Linked DNA regions of Caenorhabditis elegans. The protein of the gene in region 1 interacts with the protein of each later gene in a pairwise test. Each region holds a gene or a part of one and is shown in the gene's direction. Other genes may lie near its edges.

What was found.
Region 2: the proteins of F10G8.8 (region 1) and magi-1 interact in a two-hybrid assay, tested with the Caenorhabditis elegans proteins (2 studies listed by BioGRID).

What each region holds. Positions count from the first base shown.
Region 1 is NC_003279.8:10,058,961-10,064,109, reverse strand, and holds the start of F10G8.8 (PH domain-containing protein), read left to right. Parts: upstream 1-2,083; 5' UTR 2,084-2,121; coding exon 2,122-2,229; intron 2,230-5,149.
Region 2 is NC_003282.8:11,712,964-11,718,229, forward strand, and holds the start of magi-1 (Guanylate kinase), read left to right. Parts: upstream 1-2,075; 5' UTR 2,076-2,126; coding exon 2,127-2,145; intron 2,146-2,192; coding exon 2,193-2,257; intron 2,258-2,433; coding exon 2,434-2,500; intron 2,501-3,020; coding exon 3,021-3,258; intron 3,259-3,303; coding exon 3,304-3,500; intron 3,501-3,561; exon of another isoform or gene 3,562-3,738; intron 3,739-3,896; coding exon 3,897-4,016; intron 4,017-4,255; exon of another isoform or gene 4,256-4,400; intron 4,401-5,266.

The sequences.
Region 1 (5,149 bases):
GACCGGGGCAGCTAAATTTTTTGGAGAGATCATTATTTTCACTCTTTTATCGAAAAATTACTATGGCATGCCAAAGTCCGGGGTTCAGTTTTTCGACTTCCCTTGTAAAGAAGTTTAGGAAGCTGAATTCTTGATCTATATTCTAGTGGAATGCAAAACCAAATGTAAAACTAAAAAACAAATCAATCAGTTAAATAACCTAATTATCCCTGACCACCACATCATGAACTCCCATTTGTTCGCCCTAAAAAAGTCAATCGCATCCAATTTGATATCTTTGTTCCTTTTATTCTACCAAATCAGTCATTCTTTCTGAATTACCGATTCCTGATCGTGACTCATCAATTTTTATTCCATTTTCTTGCATTGTTTTTGATTTCTCAGACATTGGAGTTTTCATGTTACGAAACATAAAAACAGCCTCACGAGGTTTCTTTATCACCAATGAATGTGAGTACTTGTGTGGAAGCTGTTTTGGTTGAGAGTCATCTTCCCAGGGCAAGTTACTTGATTGTTTGGGGTTTGATTATGCTATTTTCATTAAAAAAAAATTAGATTCTCAGTTCTGACAATGTTTGGGAAATTTGACATTTATTATGAAGCCTCGTCAAAAAAAGTTTCAAAACCCAAATGGTTCAATCACATGACACTTTCTTATCACCAACTGGTCCTTGCACTTCTTCTACCAACTTCCCTCTATTCCCACTTTTCCGTTTTCCGTGTTCATGTCCCGGGGTCCGAGAGAGAAAGAAAGAACGCCTGTTTGATATCTGTGTCTCTCACTCTCTTCTTATCACTACTATCTTTAATTGTTTCGGGGTCCCCCCACTACTACCCTCCTCCTCTTCTTTCTTGTGTTCCTCATAAAGAAACGAACGAAAAATACGTTTTTTCTCTCTTCCTACTGTTTTTCAATTTTTTGATTATTTCCATGTTTCTGTAGCCTTTTCTTCTTTCCGGTTGGCCAAGAAACAATTATTAGCTTTTTTGTTAATGAAAAGAAATATCGATAAAACTGATAAGAAAACAATTGGTTTTGTTATCAGTTGTTTCTCTCAAACCAATCACTTACCCTTTTTCTCATTTTTCGAGAACCGTTTTTTTTCTGTCTTGGTAATTTTTATCAGATCCAATTCATTGAAACGAGAAGTAATAAAATTTAAAACTCAAAAAATTCATTTAGTTTCAAAAAATATAAAATGCTTTCGCTACAACTACAGTAACCTGCGAGGAACTTTTTAAAAGTTATTTTTATCAAAAACATGTTGTTAAAAATAATAAATTAAATTCAAATGATCGACTATGACTATGAAACAATTTAAAAATGTTGTTTTCTTTCAGAAATTTCATTTAAATTCTAAACTTTTTTTAGTAACTGAATTAATTTCAAATTGCTGGGCAAAATGATTACTGTAAAGCAACACAGTTTTGTTGGATTTTTTTTTATATAATTAAACTTTTTGGAATGATGATACATTTTGCAGAATTTTTTAATTGGTCCTAAATCGGTTTCACTTCGAAACATTTATTTTCCGCGGAATATTGTTTCAAAATCAGGATTTTTATTGTAGAAATTGCAAAAAAAAATTTTTCAATGAAAAAGACAAATTTTAGAAGTTTTAATTTACACAATTTCACACTCTCATCATCCTACTTCCCCAAAGTACATTACCAAAAATTTCAAGAAAAAAATGATACTAATATTTTCTGAATACTCTTTCACCTGGTCATTTAAGTTCCATATTTTCCCAGTTTCTCAATAAAATAGTAAAAGTGGCTCGTAAATCTTTCGTCAGTGAGAGTGAAACGGCTCGACTGGACACGGGGACACGGGACACCAATTGAACACTAAATTGCGGTCAGAAAGGGAGAAGAAATCTATAAACTGAGGAAAAGCATATCTCATAATGTGAACTACTCTATTTCAAAAAGTCTTAGCTGACCAATGACTCTTTTAAAATATTTCTATTGAAAATTCAAGTTTGTTTTCTCAACTTTTCAATATTTTCCCACATGTTTCTTTATTTTCTTCCTTTCCGTTTTAACACTCAAACAAAGTCAATAACAAAAATGTAAATTTCAGACCACATCCATGACAGGAAACTAGAATAAATATATAAAATGAACGACTGTAAGCGGTTTGAAGCAAATATTTTCAATAATGGAAAATGCAAGATTTGCTATAAATCCAAACAGAATCATTCATCAGAATCAATTGAAAATGCAAAGGTAATTTTTGTTTGATTTTTAGTTGATTTTTATTTGAAAAAATAACGTTTATGACTTTATAAATCAGTATGATTTGGCCTAAAATTCAGCTTCAATCAGGTGTTTAAATGAGTTTTTAAACATGAATTTCCAATATTTTTCAGTAAATTTTGTTCGAAAATAGCAACTATTTTTTAAAAGATTTATTCGAAAATACTTTTAATTCTAATTCAAAAATTTCCAATTTTTGGTAGTTCGAAACTTCCATGAAAATGCCAACACTTTTTTAACTTCAAAATTAAATTAATATAAATTCGTTAGTTTTTTAAAAATAATATTTTGATTCTAAATTTCACTTTAAAATATTAGAATATCAAACAGAGTACGGTATTCTACTAAACTACCAAAAATAATTGGCATCTTCCCAAACGCTGTGCCCCGAATTTCTGCGAATCTTAAAACTAATAATTAATTGTAAGAAAAGCTTTTTTTTCTGTTTTCCCGTCTCCATTTGCATTTTAATGTTGTAGAAAGACGAAGATTGAAAAAAGCACTACAGTTTTTTTACAAAATTCAATATTTTGGTGTTTACATAAGGTATAGTTTATTGATATGAAATGAAATCAGTAGTATTTGAAAAAGAGTATACTGAAAAAGACATGTTCTTCTTTCTGTGTCTCTCAATTTCTAATACTATTTATCATTTACTTTTTTATTGATAACAAGTCCATTTTGCAATCGGAAATGATATAAAAATGCATAGTTGATTATTTTTTGGAATGCTTTTCTCTTCATTTTAAGGTTTTTTGAAGTATCTGATTTGAAAAAGAGCATTATTTATTTAATTCTAAACTTTTGAGTTTAATTATTTATTTGATCAGTTCTCAACTTTTTTGATTGCATTTTCCATTTCTAAGGGTACACAATTTTCAGTTTGACACTTCAAAAGTTCCAACAAAATATTAGAATAAATTATAATTGAACACTCCAAAATTTTTTAGCTTTTTAAAATTTTTTTTTAAATTTTTAGCAAATTGAAAGTTTTAGAAATTTCCAAAAATTGAAAAAAAAAACTTTAAGGTTCGCACGTTTGAACTTGAATAATATTTTAATCCGAACAATGGAAACAAAATTAAAATATTTGCAAAAAAACCTTTTCCGGTTGACTTTCGAAATGCTGATAGGCGGAAGCTGTAAATAAACTAATTTTGGGCTTTTTTAGCACCACAGAGGTGATTTGAATCATCTTCCCCATTGCCGCTTCTCCACCTTTGAAGCTTTGATTGTTTTGGAATAAAATTTTCAGCCAATACCTCTAAGCTGGTAATAGATACCTGAACATATAGTCTTAGTTTCACCAATCGGTTCCACTTTCATTCTTTTTTGTGTCTCATTTCGTTTCGCATCAGTTATTTTTCTGCAATCACACTTCGGCCCATTTCTTTTTCTTATCCAATCCCAATACATTTTGTTTTTTCATTGGAAGACGTTCGTCTCTCTTCTGAGCAATTATCCTTTCTATCTCTAAACTCTCTTACTATTTCAATAGTATTCCATTTCATAAAAGTGCGCACTTTTGGGTCGTCCAGAGACATTCAACCAGAAAGCATTGATTCTTCCCTTCTTTTTCCTTCCTCTTGTTTATTTATTCAGCAGTGACACTATCCTTCACTATTCCTCTTCCATTTCATCCATCCTTGCATTTTTCTTATTTTTTTGGTAGTTTTTCTCTACAGTGACCCTATTAATTGGCTCAAGTTTTATTTCTAATACCGACACACACGATTTTTGCTTCAAACAATTATGGGACAAAAAGATGAATTCCACTTGACATTTTGTGAATGCCAAAAAATATTCCGAGATATTTTTTGTGTCATTTAGTAAAAGTCACTATTTTTAGCTGGTCTAAGTGAGCACTGAGTTTTGATTTTTTTCAAATATTATAACATCATCAATGTTTTTTAACTGAACCTGAGGCTCTGATTTTTTAGGGAATAAAAAATTGAGTGTATAAGTTTTGGATTCAAAATGACGCATTTAATAAATAAGTTCGTAAGTTAATTTTAGAATTTCTGGAAATAAACTTCTACGTAATTGAAAGATATGTATGCCTACCACAGAATTGATAGTTCCCTGTTAATTTTCTATTTTCTATAAACATTTATCTAAAAGTACCATAAAAATCGCAATCTTATAAACTTGAGCAATTTCGTTTTTTCCTGAAAAACATAAACACGAAATTCTAGACAGATTGCCTAATGCACCATTGGCCATCCTCCAATTTATAAATTTTAATCCAATCTTCTATCATCTTCCACTTATTATTATTATTATGCCCACCACTTCCAATCATGCTTCTTCTCTGACCATCATCTCCTTCTTCTTATCATTTGATTGCGCATCATTTTATCTGTTTATACCCGACTTGGCTTGTATCCAAGTTTTGAACACCCACTCACACATTAAAGTATCTTCATTCGTCTCGATATATCGTGTTCGTGTTCACTTTCTACATTCATTCAATGACCTGCTTTCTACCTTCCATTCATCCTTGTTTTCAACATCTTACCACTCACTCTTTTTCTCATTTTCTCTTATTTTCTCATGCTCTATCGTTCATCTAGATGGATGTAGGTAATGACTGGGAGAAAGAGAGTAGAATCCATCCTCCAATTAGTTCCTTTTCTGCTTCTAGAATTGTTTTTTGTTGTTTCTAGGTCTAACTTGCACCCATGACATTTGGATTTTCAAAACTTGGATTTTGAAAAAAAACTTTTACTTAAAGGCGCACGGATTTTTTCAGATGGATAGAAGAAAGTATTTTCAATAATATCATTATACATAGTTTTTGTAAAGGAAGAGCTTTTTTGAAGACGAAACAAATGTTTTCAATTCTTCAATTCTTTTAAAAATCACATTTTGTTGCTTTATGCTTTCAATA
Region 2 (5,266 bases), on another chromosome or scaffold:
TGGCTTTTGTTCTATCAAAAATATTAAAATTAATGCAATTTATTTCTTTCACTACAATCTTAGTTGTTGAATATTTTTTTGATATCTGCACAATGAACCGAGATCTAAGTCGTCAAAGTAATAATGGTATTTAAAAATGTGAGGAAACTAGGGAGTTAAGAGCATCCAAGGGATCAACGTTTTTACATTGGACCAAAGTATCTGCAAAAGCGCGCGGCAAATCATGTAGGCACAAAGGTAGGCATTTGTGTGTTTTCATGAATATTGAGAATTCAGTAAATAATGTGATCTACCTACATAAAGGTTCCTATAGGAGTTCTCTGTAGAGAACTTCAACTATATTTTGGAAGCATGATTTTCCCTGTTTCGCCTTTGTCTCTTCTCAGCATCAATCAAATTTTTGCATTTCTCAGGATTAATGTGTGTCTTTTTCGTTGTGTTCTCGTAACTACGAATCTCCAGCTGATTCCCTCGAGTACAAATTGCAAACAGCCGTCCCCTTCTTCTACTTCTTGTCCTTCATTTTTGTTTCTAAAGTCGCTGTCATCACTGTGATTCTGTGGTGACTGCTGCAGCACAACATGCCAGATGCGTGGCAGATGTTGAAAACTTTCGGAAGTTTGTGTAGAAATCGGAGAAGAAGAAGAAGAACTTGACGAATTATATGAGCCTGACCAGCGCTGTCGTCTCGGTGCGTTTACCATTAGTATGTTACAAAATTGACCTGTCTCCCTTTCTTTTTCTATCCGCAGAGGATTTAACGCTTTATGAGAAAACCGTTCACCATATTATCGGCGAGAAGCAAAAGTGCGTGCCGTAACGGCAAAGTGTATGTTTGTTCTCCAAATATCACATTCAGCTTTTTTGCGCCTCGCAAGAAAATGCTCTAGGCTTGCCGACGGTCAACTCGAACCTTCTGGACCAAATTGAAAATTTTCCGACTGTCCTGAAACTATAGCTCCTAATAGTTGTATTTTATTTTTAAATTCAAAAATTTTCCAACATTAAGAAAGAAGGGAATCGAGTTTCCCAGGTGCAATGACTCACGGCTTTTCGAACGAAAGTGGGATTTTTGACGAATTTCAAATTTTCGAAAGTGGCAAGTATTTTCGCTAAAGTAATGTTATTCTTTTCAAAATATTGTCTAAATTTTCTAATTTATTACTAGAAAGTTTTAAAGTGCTACAGTAATCATGACTCTAAAATTATTAAGTTAACATGTATATTTCAATTTTATCTAATTCATTATAAATATGTATTGAAAACTTACTTATATTATTTAGTTGAATTTTTATTAGAAACACCAGTTTTTACTAAAAAATAGAGTTTAAATATTTTTCATGTCTCTTTTAGTAACAAAATTTATTGAGTGATACCCGTAGAAAACAACAGGTGTGACCGCACTAAAATATATACAACACACTACATTTCCCGCAATTCATGTAGGCCAAATGGTGGTGGGTACACTGCACGCGTGTTAGAGTTGCCCCTCGGTTTAGTCGATCGATAAACAGTATTGCATCCCTGCTAGTCTTCCACATACCTCTTTAAGACACTACATGGAACAATTCAATTTTTTTTCGCTTTTTTCATTTTTTTCTTTTATCAATAATATCTTCGAACTTCCAAAACATTACACGATTTGTTTTGTTTCTGTTCAAATTGAGTTCAAAATAGGGCGCGCGAAATTTTTTTAGTCGAAGACTTCATTTTTCGGTTTTTCTTGCTCGTTTTGCGCTATACTTTTCAATACATTTTGCGCAAATATCTTGTTGTCACCTGACAGTGCTAAACTTTCTGAAAAATCTGCGCGCACTTCTTCTTATTTATTCTTCTTCCAATTTCCAATCTCTGACTCATTATTAATTTGTCATTTCGACAGCGCCTTATTCATATTCACACTGCACTCTTTCTCATCTTTTGCTTGTCCCTTGCTCTCCTTCGGGTTCTCTTGAGGTCGCCGACACACAAACGGTTGTTTCGTAATAAATATTTATTTGTTTTCGCAAAATTTATGCGGTCCCCTTTCTCATGGGCCATTCCGAACTTTGAAGATAGTAATTCATTTTCGTTGCAGAGAAGACATTCCAACTCGACATTCTCTTAATGAACCCACGACTAAAAAGATGACCGACAAAACAGCTGGTGAGATTGAGAGTTTAGTCCATAAACATCAAGATTATTAATTTCAGAACTTTGCCTGAAAATTGGAGATGAAGAAAAGGATGATTTCACATTGGAAATTGAAAAGCTTCAGGTTTGTTTTGATTTGTTTCATGTCTAACGGCTCCACCCCAAAATAAAACTCATTTCAAAACCACTTCCCATTGTTTATTCGCAAGAAAAAAGGATTAGTGAAGTAGTGGAAGGCTCTTCCCAACCACTTGTTCGTCGTCCTTCTGAATTCCTCCCCTCACTATCCCAAGTTTTCAGGCCACTCTTCAAGAAATGCTCGATTGCACGAGCAGCCCAAGCACTTCACTAGATTCCACTGACAAACGTGAGTTATTCAATCATTTATGACCTTCAAGAAAGATATTGAGTTTAACGAAGAAGTTTAAAGTTTGAATATTCCATGCATTTCAAAGTTCAGTTTACAGTGAAATATAAAACAGAGCTTTTAGTTATTGTGTGGTTGAAAAGTTTTTAATTCTTTAGTGAGTTTTTTTTTCAAACATAGATAGATATAATACAATATGCTCCCTATTAGTATTACACCTACATTTCTATACTCTGAGATTTCATATTTCGATTATTTCTAAAGATAAAAATGTAACCTAAATTTTACTAGTTGAATACTTTCACTGTCAAAAGAAACACAGTAGGAGCACACGTTAATACCTAATTTTTTAATATTCATCAAGACTGTCTTAAAATTTTTTTTTGTTTGGGTTCCGAATAAAAATTTAACAACTAAAGCAAAAAAAATCATTGTAAGTCAAGAAAGATCATTTTTGAAAAAAAAACCAAAAATCAGGAAATAGCCAAAAAAAGACTGAAAATAATTTTTAATATTCTAGTGCCATCCGGACTTGCTGCTCGTCGACTGATCCGTATTGCCAGTGAACATCATCATATTTCCACGACATCTTCTTGCCATTCGGACTCTGGAAACTCTTCATCTCGAGACGTCATCACCCCGTTTACAGTACATGGCGGAGCCTCAATTGGACGACTCATTCTGATTGATATTGTGCGACGTGATGATTTAATTGGAATTGTTCATCCTAACGATATTCTTTTAACAATTGAGAACATGTAGGTTTTCTAGAACATTTCTTTTTTTATTATTTAAATTTTCAGAAAAGTATCAGGAATGGTAAGATCTGAAGTGAATAGGATATTGGAAGATATGATGAGAGAACATGATCAAATTGCGATTGAAATTCTACCAGCTGGAGCAATTACCGATGATATTTGTGAACTACTGGCCGATAGAAAATCATCTGGTGAACTTCAGACTATCATTCGAGAAAATTTATATCAGAAGACAGTTCCTTGTGAGTTACAAAAAAAGTTGATCTGAAACTAACTAGATTGGATTTAATACTTATAAGTTTCATTCCTCAAAACCTCATTGTTTTCAATGGCACTAGCAGCTGCCCACAGGGAGTATCATTGAGATGAAATAGTGTGTGATCTAGAGAAACCTAGACATCCGCCCCATTAAATTAGGTGATTTAGGATCTAGGGGATCATCACAAGGTGGGGGAGGGTCCGAAGCTGGCCACCAGTGGAAGTGTTAAAATGTTCGGTTCGCCTTTACCAAAACATTCACTAAAACCTGCATTTCTTTCCAAACGAACATCTCTTCCTGTTATTGATCTAAAAGATTATTATGGAGGGACAAGTATTGAAGTTAAAACAAATTTCAATTTCAAAGTGACCATTTTCAGACACAACTCGACCTCCACGAGAAGGTGAAGTTGATGGAGAACACTATCGATTTGTGTCTGTAGATGATTTTAATAAGCTTCTCGACAGTGGTGACTTGCTCGAAAATGGTACATATCAAGGTAACCTCTTTTCTCCATGTTCAACTATTTTACGCTTATTATCATAAAAGAAAACCGCTGCTTCACGGTTTTACTTGCTCGCGAATCTCCGTAAAATCCAGCCACCTGGTAGCCTTTTTCGGCACCTGTCTTAAGAATTTCTTATTTCTTATTTCCACCGCTTCAATAGCTCCATCTGTCTTTGTCTGCGATCTCTTATATCCCCTATTACCTTCTCATCACACTCACTTACCTGTTTTCTACCTCACAGTCCTCGTCTACCCTCTTACGCAATCTTGGTATGTCCTCAAATGGAGGACTGTACCCTCTACGTCTCCTGCTTCATAACACTATTTCGTGACAAAACACAGTCCCATTCCGCTCATTTTGCATCTTTCTCCTTCCGTTGTCCCTCTCTCTTTCTCTCTTACCTGACACAATGGTTCATTCACCTCTCTCACCAAAATTGGAGTGGATTACATTCTTTGCATGTGTAAAAAGTGCACCCTAAAATTTGAAAATTCTTTCTCAACGGATCTGCCTTCCCAGATCATTTTTCATCCATATGTCCGCCTTGAGAAAATGCATATATCATGCTCACTTGTCATCGGAGCCCACCAATATCCATGTGACAAGTAGCAGTAAACTTGACTATTGTTTTTGGCTCCTCTTCATTCCATTTCGGAAAGAGAAGACTTGGTGATGCCCCCACAGATTCGATTCAATTTCGTTAATTCAATCTCATAGTGGCTTCTTCCATTCTTTTCTGTTTCGTTTCTATTCTTCTTCTTACTTTTTCGCATCCTTCTTATTCTCGCCCTACACTTTCTCTGCTTAATCCCTGTTTGAACTAAATTCTCGGAGAAGACAAGGAGTTAGCAGCAAAAGTTGAATCCTGAAGTTTTTTTTTCGTTTTTTTTCTTTACTGGTGTCGTTGCCTGCCTATTTGCGTCCTTGTCAAAACAATGCCATTTTTCGGTCAAGTACCCTGAACCAGTACTAGTTTTGACAGTAAGTCCGAAAATGGAAGTTGAAAGGGCATAATGATGATGAGGATTGTTATTGAAATAGAGATGCAAAACTGGCGTTTTGACATTCAGGTCTAAATTCTTTTAGTTGTAAATGAGAGTTTACTATGATTTTCGTAACAGACTGTATTTCCCAAATTTTCAGAAAGACGGGGTCCATAGTTTTTTATTTTGTTTTGTTTTATGCAAAAGTGTTCAACTTGTAAAATTTAGGTCGAATCTTTCTTCTTCTTCTCTGAATTT